Linked DNA regions of Schizosaccharomyces pombe. The gene in region 1 interacts genetically with each later gene. Each region holds a gene or a part of one and is shown on either strand. Other genes may lie near its edges.

Region 1 (3,759 bases):
AGCAGAAGATGAATGGACAGAGGAAGAGCTTAAATGAGAAGTAGTCATAGAAAGAGTGCTACTAGGATAGGTCGAAGTGATACTCGCCGATGAGCTTCCACTCTCAGAGACAGTAGAAGTGGTGGAAACAGTAGAGATAGTCTCCTCGGGACGGGAACTACATGTGGTAGTAGTCATAGTAGTAGTAGTCTCTTCGGGAGACGTAGTGTAAGTAACCTGGGTGGTGGTAGTTGTTTCTTCATTAGATGAGCTACTAAGAGCCGAAGTACCAGAAAATGAGGATGTAGGAGAAGGAGAACTAGAGAAGGAGGAAACAGATCCACTGGTACTTACGGTAGTAGGAACAATAATACTGCTGTTAGAATAATAGGGTGAAGAACTAGTAGCGGTTGCTGAGCCAGTGCCAGTACCAGTAAATGTAACGGTGGTGTTTGAAGCAGTCAGAGTAGTAGTGTATGAGCTATTGCTAGACGTGAAAGAAGAAACACTTGATGGTGCACTGGTAGGGATAACACTACTGTTAGAATAGAATGGTGGGGAGCTGGTAAACGTTGCCGAACCAGTACCAGTACCAGTAAATGTAACGGTGGTGTTTGAAGCAGTCAGAGTAGTAGTGTATGAGCTATTGCTAGACGTGAAAGAAGAAACACTTGATGGTACACTGGTAGGGATAACACTACTGTTAGAATAGAATGGTGGGGAGCTGGTAAACGTTGCTGAACCAGTACCAGTACCAGTGTATGTGATAGAAGTGTTTGAAGCAGTCAGCGTAGTAGTGTATGAGCTATTGCTAGACGTGAAAGAAGAAACGCTTGATGGTACACTGGTAGGGATGACACTACTGTTAGAATAGAATGGTGGGGAGCTGGTAAACGTTGCCGAACCAGTACCAGTACCAGTGTATGTGACAGAAGTGTTTGAAGCAGTCAGCGTAGTAGTGTATGAGCTGCTGCTGGAGGTGAAAGAAGAAACACTTGATGGTACACTGGTAGGGATGACACTACTGTTGGAATAGAATGGTGATGAGGAAACAGTTGCCGAACCAGTGGTAGTGGTACTTCCAGTAGTAGTAAGGTTAGTACTATAGGAAGGAGTGAAGCTACTGAGACTAGAAGAAGAGACTGTAACGGGTGTGGAAGTCGATGTAATAATAGACGTTGGCAAAACAGATGATGAAGACAGGCTGGCAGACGATATAACACTGGAAGGTAAGAAACTAGATGTGTTATAATAAGGAGAGCCTGTAGTAGTAGTAAACGATGAAGAGCTGGGAATCATAGACGTGTTTGTAATGGTGCTAAACGAAGAAGTGCTCGACGCTGGCGGAGGTAAGGTTACAATGTCGGTCGATGTGCCTGTCGAGACACTAACGTCTGTAGAGTATGGAAAACTAGAAGTAGCAGATGAATAAATGGTAGAATTCGCTGTCACAGTTATAGCAGTGCTTGGAATAGAAGTGCTAGCAGAAGCATGACCACTGTTGGTTTGTGAACTAGTGAAGGTAGTCATGCTTTGAAAAGTACTACCAGTAGTAGAAGAGATACCTTCGCCGCCAACAATATAAAAAGTACCAGATTGGGCGTAAATAACAGAGTCGTCGCGAATAGACGTAAAACTAATTTGGTAGCCATAACCTGGCGAAAGATCTAAAGCAGGAAATGTGGCATTTTCATCAAAAGTATTGATGGTCATTATGTAACGGCTTGTTGGTGGATACTCAACTTCGTTTATTAACCAGACATTAGCCTGCAGGGGATCAGTGCTGACCACACTCCATTCCAAGGGTTCAATATGTCCACTAGTCCAAACGTCTGAAGAAGAAGGAACATTAATTTCCATGCCAGCACAAAGCTTGGCTAAGCTAATTAATAGCCCGCTGATGGTTAATCTTCTCATTTCTCAAATAAATCCCTAGTTCGGCAATTGGCAGTGCACAGGCCTTCAGCAAGACGAATACCCAACTAAAAGTAGATGGTTAAGGAAAGAAAGTAAGCGAGAAAGGCGACTTAATATAGCACTTGGGTTTCTGATATGACCTAAGTGTATTAATGCTCAAAAGTGGGGCAATGCTGGAAACTGTATCGATGTAAACAAAAACAATCGAAAAATTGTGGATTCCAGAGAGACATTTATATTTGCACCTAAATTAGATAACGCATTCTTGGGTCGCGTTACTATGGTAACATTGGTCGACTTTGTGTAAATAAACATCCAGCACTACTGCAAGAAAGTACAAAAATGACGTTAAATGTAATTAAGGCACCACGTTAATTCAATGAATCTGCAGGTTCTTGGTTAAAAACCAGCAGAATGGCTGGTAAAAAAGGTTGGTTTCTCTCAAATTCACCTAAAGGCTGGATATATTGCCTGTTTAAGAGGCTGGTGTAAATATAAAACTGTTCATTTGAACAATTAGTGCACAACAATGTTAGATATGTTGCAATGATATTACCAATAAACGTAAGATGGTAAGTACGCATACCGATATGTGAAGAGCCCACCAAATATAAGATGGTCCTCCGTGACTCAAGGTATAAGTGGCATATATGTCGGAACTGAATTTTGACTGTTTCAATGAAGCCTTCTTCCATCGTTGGCCAATGAGTTTTTGAATCAGAAATGTAACAACCGAGGGTGTGTTCTTGGAGGACTCTGTAAGAACATCATTTGTCGCGATCAGTTTGACAAAACCAATATTTCCTCCAAAGTACCCCATTGCGCTGGGTAATGTATGTTCGATGGCACCGTTCGGGTGTTCGTAGTCACAACCCATATGATCATGGCCAGAAAGGACCAATTTGATGCTAGGAATCAATTCAAAAATTTTCATAGTAGTATTATACGATAAATGATTTTGAGACTTGACCCGAAAATCCAATTGACGAACGATTCTCGGTTCGTCAACACACACATTAGCTGGTTTGTAGAGTGGCACATGGGTGAACAGTATGGTTGGAATAGACGGCTCTAAAGCAATGTCGAAAAGAAATTGCCAAGCATCCCTAGCTTCTTTTGAAAGAGCAAGTATACCTAATGATGAAAAACTTTTACTGTTAATAATATCGCTAGGGTTCGCATCGTAAAACTGAACATCATCAAGCGAAAGGCTATTTATGCCGATCACACGGACAGGAAATTTAGAAACATTGAAGTGCGAAACCCAATTTACCGGGCCCATAGCTTGTTCCCATTTGCTAATTTGTGCGTCTGAACTTTCGCAGCCATAGCCAATGTCATGATTACCCGCAATCGTCCAAACGGGAATGTTACCGTTTTCAAAAGTACGTGCTGGTAAACTGGAGTTTCCTACTTGCCAAAAGTTTTTTGCCCCAGTGATTTTTTTCAGTCTTTTAGCTCTTTTGTTGAATTCTTCGTTATCCAAGTGCTGAAAACTGACCAAGTCACCCAACAGAATCATCGCATCTGGTTGACCCCAAAACTGATTCATATGTACAAGGTGTCGTAAAAACAAATCATTCCCCCAAAGATCTAAAGTGCCTTTAAAAAATCCATTTGCTTCGATTTTATGATTCCCTTCAATCTGAGGATCAGCAACCCCCATAATAACAAAAGAATTTTCATCTTCGAGTTGCAGCTTTCTTGGCATTATGCCAAATAGTAGAGGATAGGCATAGTAGACAGCTAAAAAAACTAGGCAAAGATAATGTAAAATAGACAGTTGTTTGTTCAACCATAATAAATTCGGATGTCTTGCAAACATTATTGACTTAATTATGTCAACGTAAATTAAAAAAGGGA
Region 2 (3,759 bases), on another chromosome or scaffold:
AATTAACTTTCCGTCAATGGTGTTATTAATACCGGCTATTAATTCCTACAATTTAATTTCGTTAGCTATGCAATAAAAAAATATTGCATACATTTTTAAAATAACCCAACGACATAACGGCATCATCCGAATGCTTAAGTTCGATTTCTCCATGTTCTATAAATTTTGTATGACCTTCACCAACTTCAGGTTCATAGTCTTCATATGATAATAACTTCTAAATTCGACAAACTAATTAGCGCCTATAGTCCAATTGTAAAACATAATCTTTTTAGCTAACAATCCGGATACTAAAAAGTTTATAATGCTGTAAAATAGATAGATAATGAAGTAATCCTTCACTTACAGTCACGAATTGACATACCAATTTGTTTTTAACACCAGATTTTGTAGTTCCTCCTCCACCACCAACCGCCATTTGATGGTTATTAATCCAACAAAGAGAATAAGCTGGAAAAGAAAGGTGGAGTTCAGCCATTTTGATCTAATAATTAGAAAACACTTTAAGCTGGATACGAGGAATAGGAATGTATTGAAAAAATAAATCGATATCGGCGACGAATCAAAAAAAAATTCTACTTATTAGTGAGCAAATCAATAAAGTACACTTACAAGAATTCCACTAAAAAAAAACAATGTCTATTTGAATACGGTGGTGTGGGTATGTTTCGAAATCGCTGTGAACCTACTTCGAGACTTAAGCAAATACTGTAAGAATATTAGATCCCCGTATCAGAATCTATCGAATAATATCGACATCACTATCCTCTTTTACGTATTTAGGCGATGTTTAATATATACATAAGTTTTTATCCATTTTTTTATGACAGTAGAGAAAAGATTTAATTAGAGATAACCTAAATCCTTATTGACTTAAAAAAGGATGATACTTACTTGTGGATATTTATTTGCGAAGAATCTTTGAACAAACAGAAACTTATAATAGATTCTTTCTAAATCTCGGAGCATATTCTGGCTCATTTTATATTTATATTTTCCTTTTCAGCTTTTTAGAACTCAATTCCGACCTCAGTTTGGTTGCAACTTTGCTACAGACACTATTTAATATCTCGGTCTCCTGTACATTTTACCAGGTTTACGTTGTATTGTTTATATAGTTTATATAGCAATATTTACTACATGTTCATCATATTACGAAAATAGATTAAGAGAACTGGGGAAAGAGTGAGGAGATGAGAAATTTTCGGATTTATTTATAATTTCCAATTATTATTTTTAAGACGAAATTGCCGCGAGACTACATTGTCCATGAAATTAATGTTTGTGTTTATTCTACTAAAGGGTATGAATGCTCGATCTCGTGCCAAGGTGCCTACAATCTTAATACGCCGCTGCCTGTGTATGATTATAATATTACTTCTGTTTTTTGCACAGAAAGCGTGTTTCATTTCAAAGATTGACTTCCAATTAAATTTAATTAATAATATGTTGTTTCATTTCCTTATTTAACTACCAATTCTTGTTCATTTGCAATTCACTCAAATATGTAACTGAACGTTGTCAGGTAATTTTTTGGCTTTAAATGATATGCCTCAATGGAATATAAAAAAGCATAATCCTATATAACTATTGTTTTTTTCAGCTTCGTTTCAGTGAAATGTTATGCTGATACAAATTGATTGAAACATGAATGCAAGACTTTTTTCAACTCAACAATATTTTATTTATTAGTAAATTTTAGTTTATGTAATAAACTCTTCATTAAATTAATATAACTTTATAGTGCTGCTTTCTTTTTGCACATCGCACATTAATTGCAAAAACTCTCTTCTCCACATCCAGGGTATCTGATGTCCTCGACAAAGTCTCAGCGAACGAGCGATTTGGGTTTTTCATAGCAGAGAAGTATCCAAATTTCAAAAATATTATTATTTTACTGGCTTTATAGAGAAGTATTTAAATTTTTGCATAACCCTCAATTGATAGAGTGCTGTAAATTCTACTTACATTATTCACATGTCTGCCGATAAATTTCGTGATTCCACGCATTACAGAGATTGGATTTTTACGGAAGAAGACCTTTCAAAAACACGTGCTAAAGTAAATGAAAAATTTACGAATATTGTACGTGAGCGAATGCTGGAAGAGTTGTCTTTACAAAACAAGGAAGCATCCTTAGAAGTTTTGCCTCCAACTCTTACCGTTGAAGAAGAACTTGAACTTGTAAATTATTATAGTTTCCAGTTGAACGCACTTTCTTCCGCTCTTTCCTTACCAACTCATATTCGCGTATGTTTAGACATGGTCGGATTTCCTTCAATTACTTGGAAACTGTACTCAATATAAACATTCCGACTTTACTCACAAAATTTTAGTCCACGGCCATTCTTTTTTTTAAACGCTTTTATCTAATTAACTCTGTCATGGAGTATAGTCCAAAAATTATTTCGTATGTTTAAGTCGCCGAGTCCATTAAGCTAACATTGTTTTTCTTACATTAGGTTTACTTCTTTATTTTTAGCTACCAAGTGCAACGATCATTATATCTCTATTGAACAATTCTGTAAAAACATGCCCAAGACGACTCCCGAAGAAGTTCTTGAATACGAATTTAACGTTTGTCAATCATTAAAATGGGACCTTTACGTCTGGCTTCCATTTCGTCCTTTACAAGGCTTCCTTTTAGATTGTCAAACAGTGCTTCCGAAAGTTGCTGTCGAAAAGTTTTACGAATGTCATGACCTTTCCAAAAAATTCCTAATTGAGACATTGCATTCTGACATCTATTTCTTACATTCACCCAGCATAATTGCTTTGGGTGCTATTTATCATACGAATCCAACTATTTGTTTACAATATATAGAAGCAAAAAAAATTCCAGAACTGCAACCTTTGATAATTTCGATTTCTGCCAATTTGAAAGCTACAAAAAAATTTAAGATTGAGAAAAAAAAGGCACAAGATTACGGCAGAAAGCTATATTTCTGCATGAATCCTCTGCGAAACAAGTCTAGTGCTTTGTACCTTAAACGAAAAGCGGAAGAAGAATCAACTAATAACAACAAATGGGCTAAAAAGTTCTCAACCAGCAGTAATGTGTTGGATAAAAATCCGTTTGAATGATTCTTTCTTTGAAAAGTGCTAAATTTACTTCAATAGTCATTATTCGTCAATTTTTTTTACGACAAAATAGTTTACGTTTATAAAAAATTCCCAGTAAAATTCACTATCAAGTGTGTCTCATTAATTATTTTTAATGTCTATTTGTAAAATTAAAAACATTTTCATTTCTCTCACAGCCAAGGAGCCCATAAGACGTCCATCTGTGCCAAAACTTTGGAACTAGAGGCTTGCGCCAAATAATCAATAGCTGTTTGATTGACTGGTAAGTTACCATAAGCAACCTGACTTAATGATGCAACCCTTCGCATTATAAGATCAGTATTGCTATTGACTTTGTTGAGCATACTGAAATCTGCCGGCACGCCTTTAGTTTGCTGTGCAAGCCACCAAAAAAGATCATCTCTAATAAAGATACCCAAGTACATATCCAAATCGAAATCCGGTTTGGAGAGCGCGCGAGCTATAGCCATTATTGAAGGGCCCAGTAAACCTTCAGTACAAGTTTTTCCAATAAATTCTTTAATGTTGGGGGTAAAGCGAAAAGGAACAATTTCTCCATTATGGTAAACTGGAGTAGAAGAAACCATAGATGGCAGCGCTTCTGTTGTCCAAACACCGCCAGAGTCTCTAGAAAAAACAAGCTTAGCAGGTATCCTATTATTTATACTTAGTATG
Region 3 (3,759 bases), 3.0 Mb from region 1:
CTAATGCGACCACAGGTCGACGACCTGGGCCACGTCGTCTAGTAGGTAATTTTACAAGGGGATCGAAATGATTAGGGCGATGCACTTTTCTTCCTGATTTTGTTTTGACACCTTCCAAATTAAATTGCTCTTCCCTACCATCTTCAGTAGAAAAGAGGGCGTCAGCGGTGTTGTCACGTTCAATAGCCAAACTGGCAGGCCATGATCTTTTCCGAGCAATGTTCATAGCAATTGACATAGGAGGTAATGGCGATGAACTTGCAGGAACATTTGGGGGTAACGCAGATTTTGTTTGGGAATCAGCACTTCTATGATGCGCATAATTAGATGAAGATGCGTCTTCAGTGAAAGGTGCCTGTTCGCTTTTTGCATCGGTTTCCTGATTTTTACTAGATTCTATTTCTTTAGCAACATCATCATTTTTGTACGAACCGAAAGCACCTGACTCCTTGTTTGGCTCGTGAAAGTGTTGGAACTGATTTTCCAAATGCATGTTTGAATTCACGTTAGGATTTTGTATATCCTGAAAGGCTTGATCTATTAGCACAGAGCCTCCATTTTGATTAGATTCCTCCCCCTCAAACATCGTTGGATGCAAATCATTGGGAAATCGACGACTACCGTCGAATTGAAAAGGATATGATGCCGCTTCAAAAGAACCGCCATCGTCGTCATAGTACGATGAATTCGGCATTAGGTTTTAAATCATTCATATGCTCATGTAAAAAACAAATGAAAAAATGAAGCAAATGGCAAAAAATGCGAATGTGTAAGTTCAACACGCGTGTTTGGAATTTAGGTGAGATTTAACGCAACTTATAAATCGTTTGCTGCTGTTACTCCAATTATGTTTTGCTAGCGAAATGAGATTGATCATCACTATATCTCGCTTATTCACTTCTCACTACAACTCACTGTCTAGTCATATATAAATACTGCACGTATCCATGAAGAGCTGAAATCTCACATTTATTAGAGCTTTTTTATTTTTAATTTTGTTAAATTTAATTATTCATGCATTAACTAGTCATAGCTATAAATATGAATGAAAATTTGGTCTTTCCTTTGTTTATATTTCCTAGATGGCCTAACAGCTATAATTGATTGAACTTGTATGCTATTAAAGGCGATAAACAGACTTCTTTAGTACTTTGCTAAAGAAAATATAATTGCAATGATCCAATTACACTGGAAATACAGGTATAAAAAATCGTCACAGTTTGGAAACAAACAATGCTTTTTTTTCTGTGGCTGTTGTGTAGCTTTGCTAGTATCATAAACTCATTGTACACTAGCGCAAGACACACTATACAGTAGTTAGCGCGAGGTATTTTATTATTCTTTCCAACTTATTTGTAATGAAGTTCAAATAAACAATGGGTAATTTAGTACTACTAAAGTCCTTGCGTTATTTAAAAGGTTTTTGTTTGAAGTTAGTGGTATATATTTTGGAATCCTAAAGTTATTGTATCGCCTTTCACTGTCAATGTGGAATACTGCAAAGGCCGATACTCCTTCTTTCAAACTTAATTGTTTCACTTTCTTTTCTTTCCATTTCAACGCAATATTTTACAATTTTTTTTAATTTAAAAGAGAATTCTGATCATTGTCTAAACTAAACTCCTGGCAAAACTATCATTTGCGTTGCTTGTTTAGATCTGCATAGTGCCTGAACCACTTGACTTAACGAATGTACTACTACCATCGTTAAGTTACAATAAAAACATTATTTCCTTTTTCCCACCATTTTGCCTCTAATTATTGTTAAAAATTATTTATTTCATGAATTAATATTAAAATAACGTCCATTATGGAAAAGGAAAAGCTTACAAATAGGACCAGTACTCACAAATTCAATGAAACTGACAGAGAAACAAATCACTCTAGAAGGCATCGTCACCACCACTCTAGGCATCGTGAGAGCAAGCATGGACGACATGATCGCAGTGAAAGGCCAAGCTCTAGAGAAGCAGGTGACCGAAGTAGGCATGAAAGATTTAGTAAAGAGCCATTGGAGGTAAAGAAACTTCCTGTTGAAAATGAATACTTTGACTCCAAATTCGCTTCTGCTTCTTCCATGCCATCCTCCAAAGACAATCCACAGAATAATGACTTTACTAATTCATTGCAAGGTTTGGATTTTGGTACGTTCGGTTCGCGTATACAAAGAGAACCTATTGACCGAAAGTCCAATAAGCCTGGTGAAATTTTTGTTGGTGCAACATTACAGAATGAGAGTTCGACGAGTACAGAACATAAAGATATAGAACAGCTTGAAACCGAAATTAATGAGTCAGGAATTAATTACAAAATTGGTGATAATGGCTCTCGATGGCGTATGATGAAGCTCAAACGCGTATTTGACATGGCTCAAGACCAACGACGCCCCGTTGAAGAAGTAGCTCTGGAACGTTATGGTTCATTGAAAGAATTTGATTTTGCCTTGGAAGAAAGAGATGAGTTAGAGCTTCGAAAACGAACTCGAAAAGTTCAGAAAGAAGTTCCTACTGGCGAATTATATGAAAAACGATGTGCTGATGAATTTAAGACTAGAAAAGATTCTGGTAATGGCGCTACATACTACAAAGTAATACCTGACCCTTCTGTAAATAAAGATACTCCCACTGAAAGCGATTTGAATAGATTAAAAGCTGATTTGTTACGTGCTCAACTTAAAAAGGATCCTAACTATGAGTCTTTAGAAAGGGAATATCAGAAAGCTTGTGATGACTTCGAAAACTCTTTACACCCTTCGGAAAATTCTAATTCGCAAGCAACCATACCATCAAAAAAAAGAAACTTCGACGATCCTACTATTGATGAGATGGTACAGGAAGAAAAATTGTTGAATAAACAACGGAAATACGGCCAGAATTATGAATACGCAAAGCAGATTGCAAAGGATAAAACTTATTCTAACAATCTGGATTATTTGGACGAAAATGCAGGGAAACTTTCTAATCGAATGAAGCGCGGAGACGTCAGTCTAGCTCAAATTAGTAGTGGTGGGGATCTTAAAAAAATTAATCATGTTTTGGACACTTGTCCTCTTTGCCTAAATTATGAAACACAACCTTTGGCACCAGTAATATCTTTAAGTCATCGTGCTTATGTTTCTTTACCAACTCAACCCGAATTAGCTAAATATCATTGTTTAATTGTTCCTACAGGACATCGGATAAATACCCTCAGCTGTGATGAGGATGAATGGGATGAAATCAGAGTATGTTAATATAGTAAAAGGAAATAACTAACAAACCTTTTTAGAATTTTATGAAATGCATCGCCCTAATGTTTGATTCCATGAATCTTGGTGTTATTTTTTATGAAAACGCGCCTTCACCACAAAGATATATGCACACAGCTATTGAGTGTATTCCAGTCTCTAAAAGGATCCTCTCACTTGCACCTGCTTACTTCCGTGAAGCTTTGTCTACTTCTGACGAGGAGTGGTCTCAACATCGAAAAATTATTGATACATTAGAAGGTTCGAAGAAGTATGGAAAATGGGCTTTTCGAAAAATGATGGTTAAGGGTATGTTTGGAAAATCGTAATCATTTATTTTACTAATGATTAGAATTGGGTTATTTTCATGTTTGGTTCAGTATTGATGGTGGCTACGGGCATGTCGTGGAAGACGAGAAGGCATGGGGGAGGCACGATCAAGTTCCTAGGCAGGTATTTGCCAGTATGCTAAACCTTCCTCCTGAAGTAATCAGAAGGAAAGGTTCTTGGACAGGTAAAAAAGATCCACGCGA

What was found.
Region 2: mutations in adg2 (region 1) and mcs2 together harm fitness more than expected from each alone (negative genetic interaction), as found in Schizosaccharomyces pombe (one large-scale study listed by BioGRID).
Region 3: mutations in adg2 (region 1) and cwf19 together harm fitness more than expected from each alone (negative genetic interaction), as found in Schizosaccharomyces pombe (one large-scale study listed by BioGRID).

Annotation. Positions count from the first base shown.
Region 1 is NC_003424.3:4,079,055-4,082,813, forward strand, and holds the start of adg2 (protein adg2), read right to left. Parts: upstream 2,103-3,759; 5' UTR 1,897-2,102; coding exon 1-1,896. Other genes in the region: ted1 (phosphoprotein phosphatase), read right to left, coding at 2,429-3,721.
Region 2 is NC_003423.3:1,891,179-1,894,937, forward strand, and holds mcs2 (transcription factor TFIIH complex cyclin Mcs2), read left to right. Parts: upstream 1-1,801; 5' UTR 1,802-1,977; coding exon 1,978-2,250; exon of another isoform or gene 2,251-2,336; coding exon 2,337-2,410; exon of another isoform or gene 2,411-2,462; coding exon 2,463-3,084; 3' UTR 3,085-3,230; downstream 3,231-3,759. Other genes in the region: GDP/GTP exchange factor Spo14, read right to left, coding at 1-45, 92-217, 365-478; SAGA complex, phosphatidylinositol pseudokinase subunit Tra1, read right to left, coding at 3,255-3,759. UniProt on the Schizosaccharomyces pombe protein: Essential for progression through the cell cycle. Possesses kinase activity that can be detected when myelin basic protein (MBP) is provided as an exogenous substrate.
Region 3 is NC_003424.3:1,101,799-1,105,557, reverse strand, and holds the start of cwf19 (protein Cwf19), read left to right. Parts: upstream 1-1,750; 5' UTR 1,751-1,810; coding exon 1,811-3,223; exon of another isoform or gene 3,224-3,267; coding exon 3,268-3,535; exon of another isoform or gene 3,536-3,578; coding exon 3,579-3,759. Other genes in the region: Lsd1/2 complex PHD finger domain-containing protein Phf2, read right to left, coding at 1-694. UniProt on the Schizosaccharomyces pombe protein: Involved in mRNA splicing where it associates with cdc5 and the other cwf proteins as part of the spliceosome. Involved in mRNA splicing.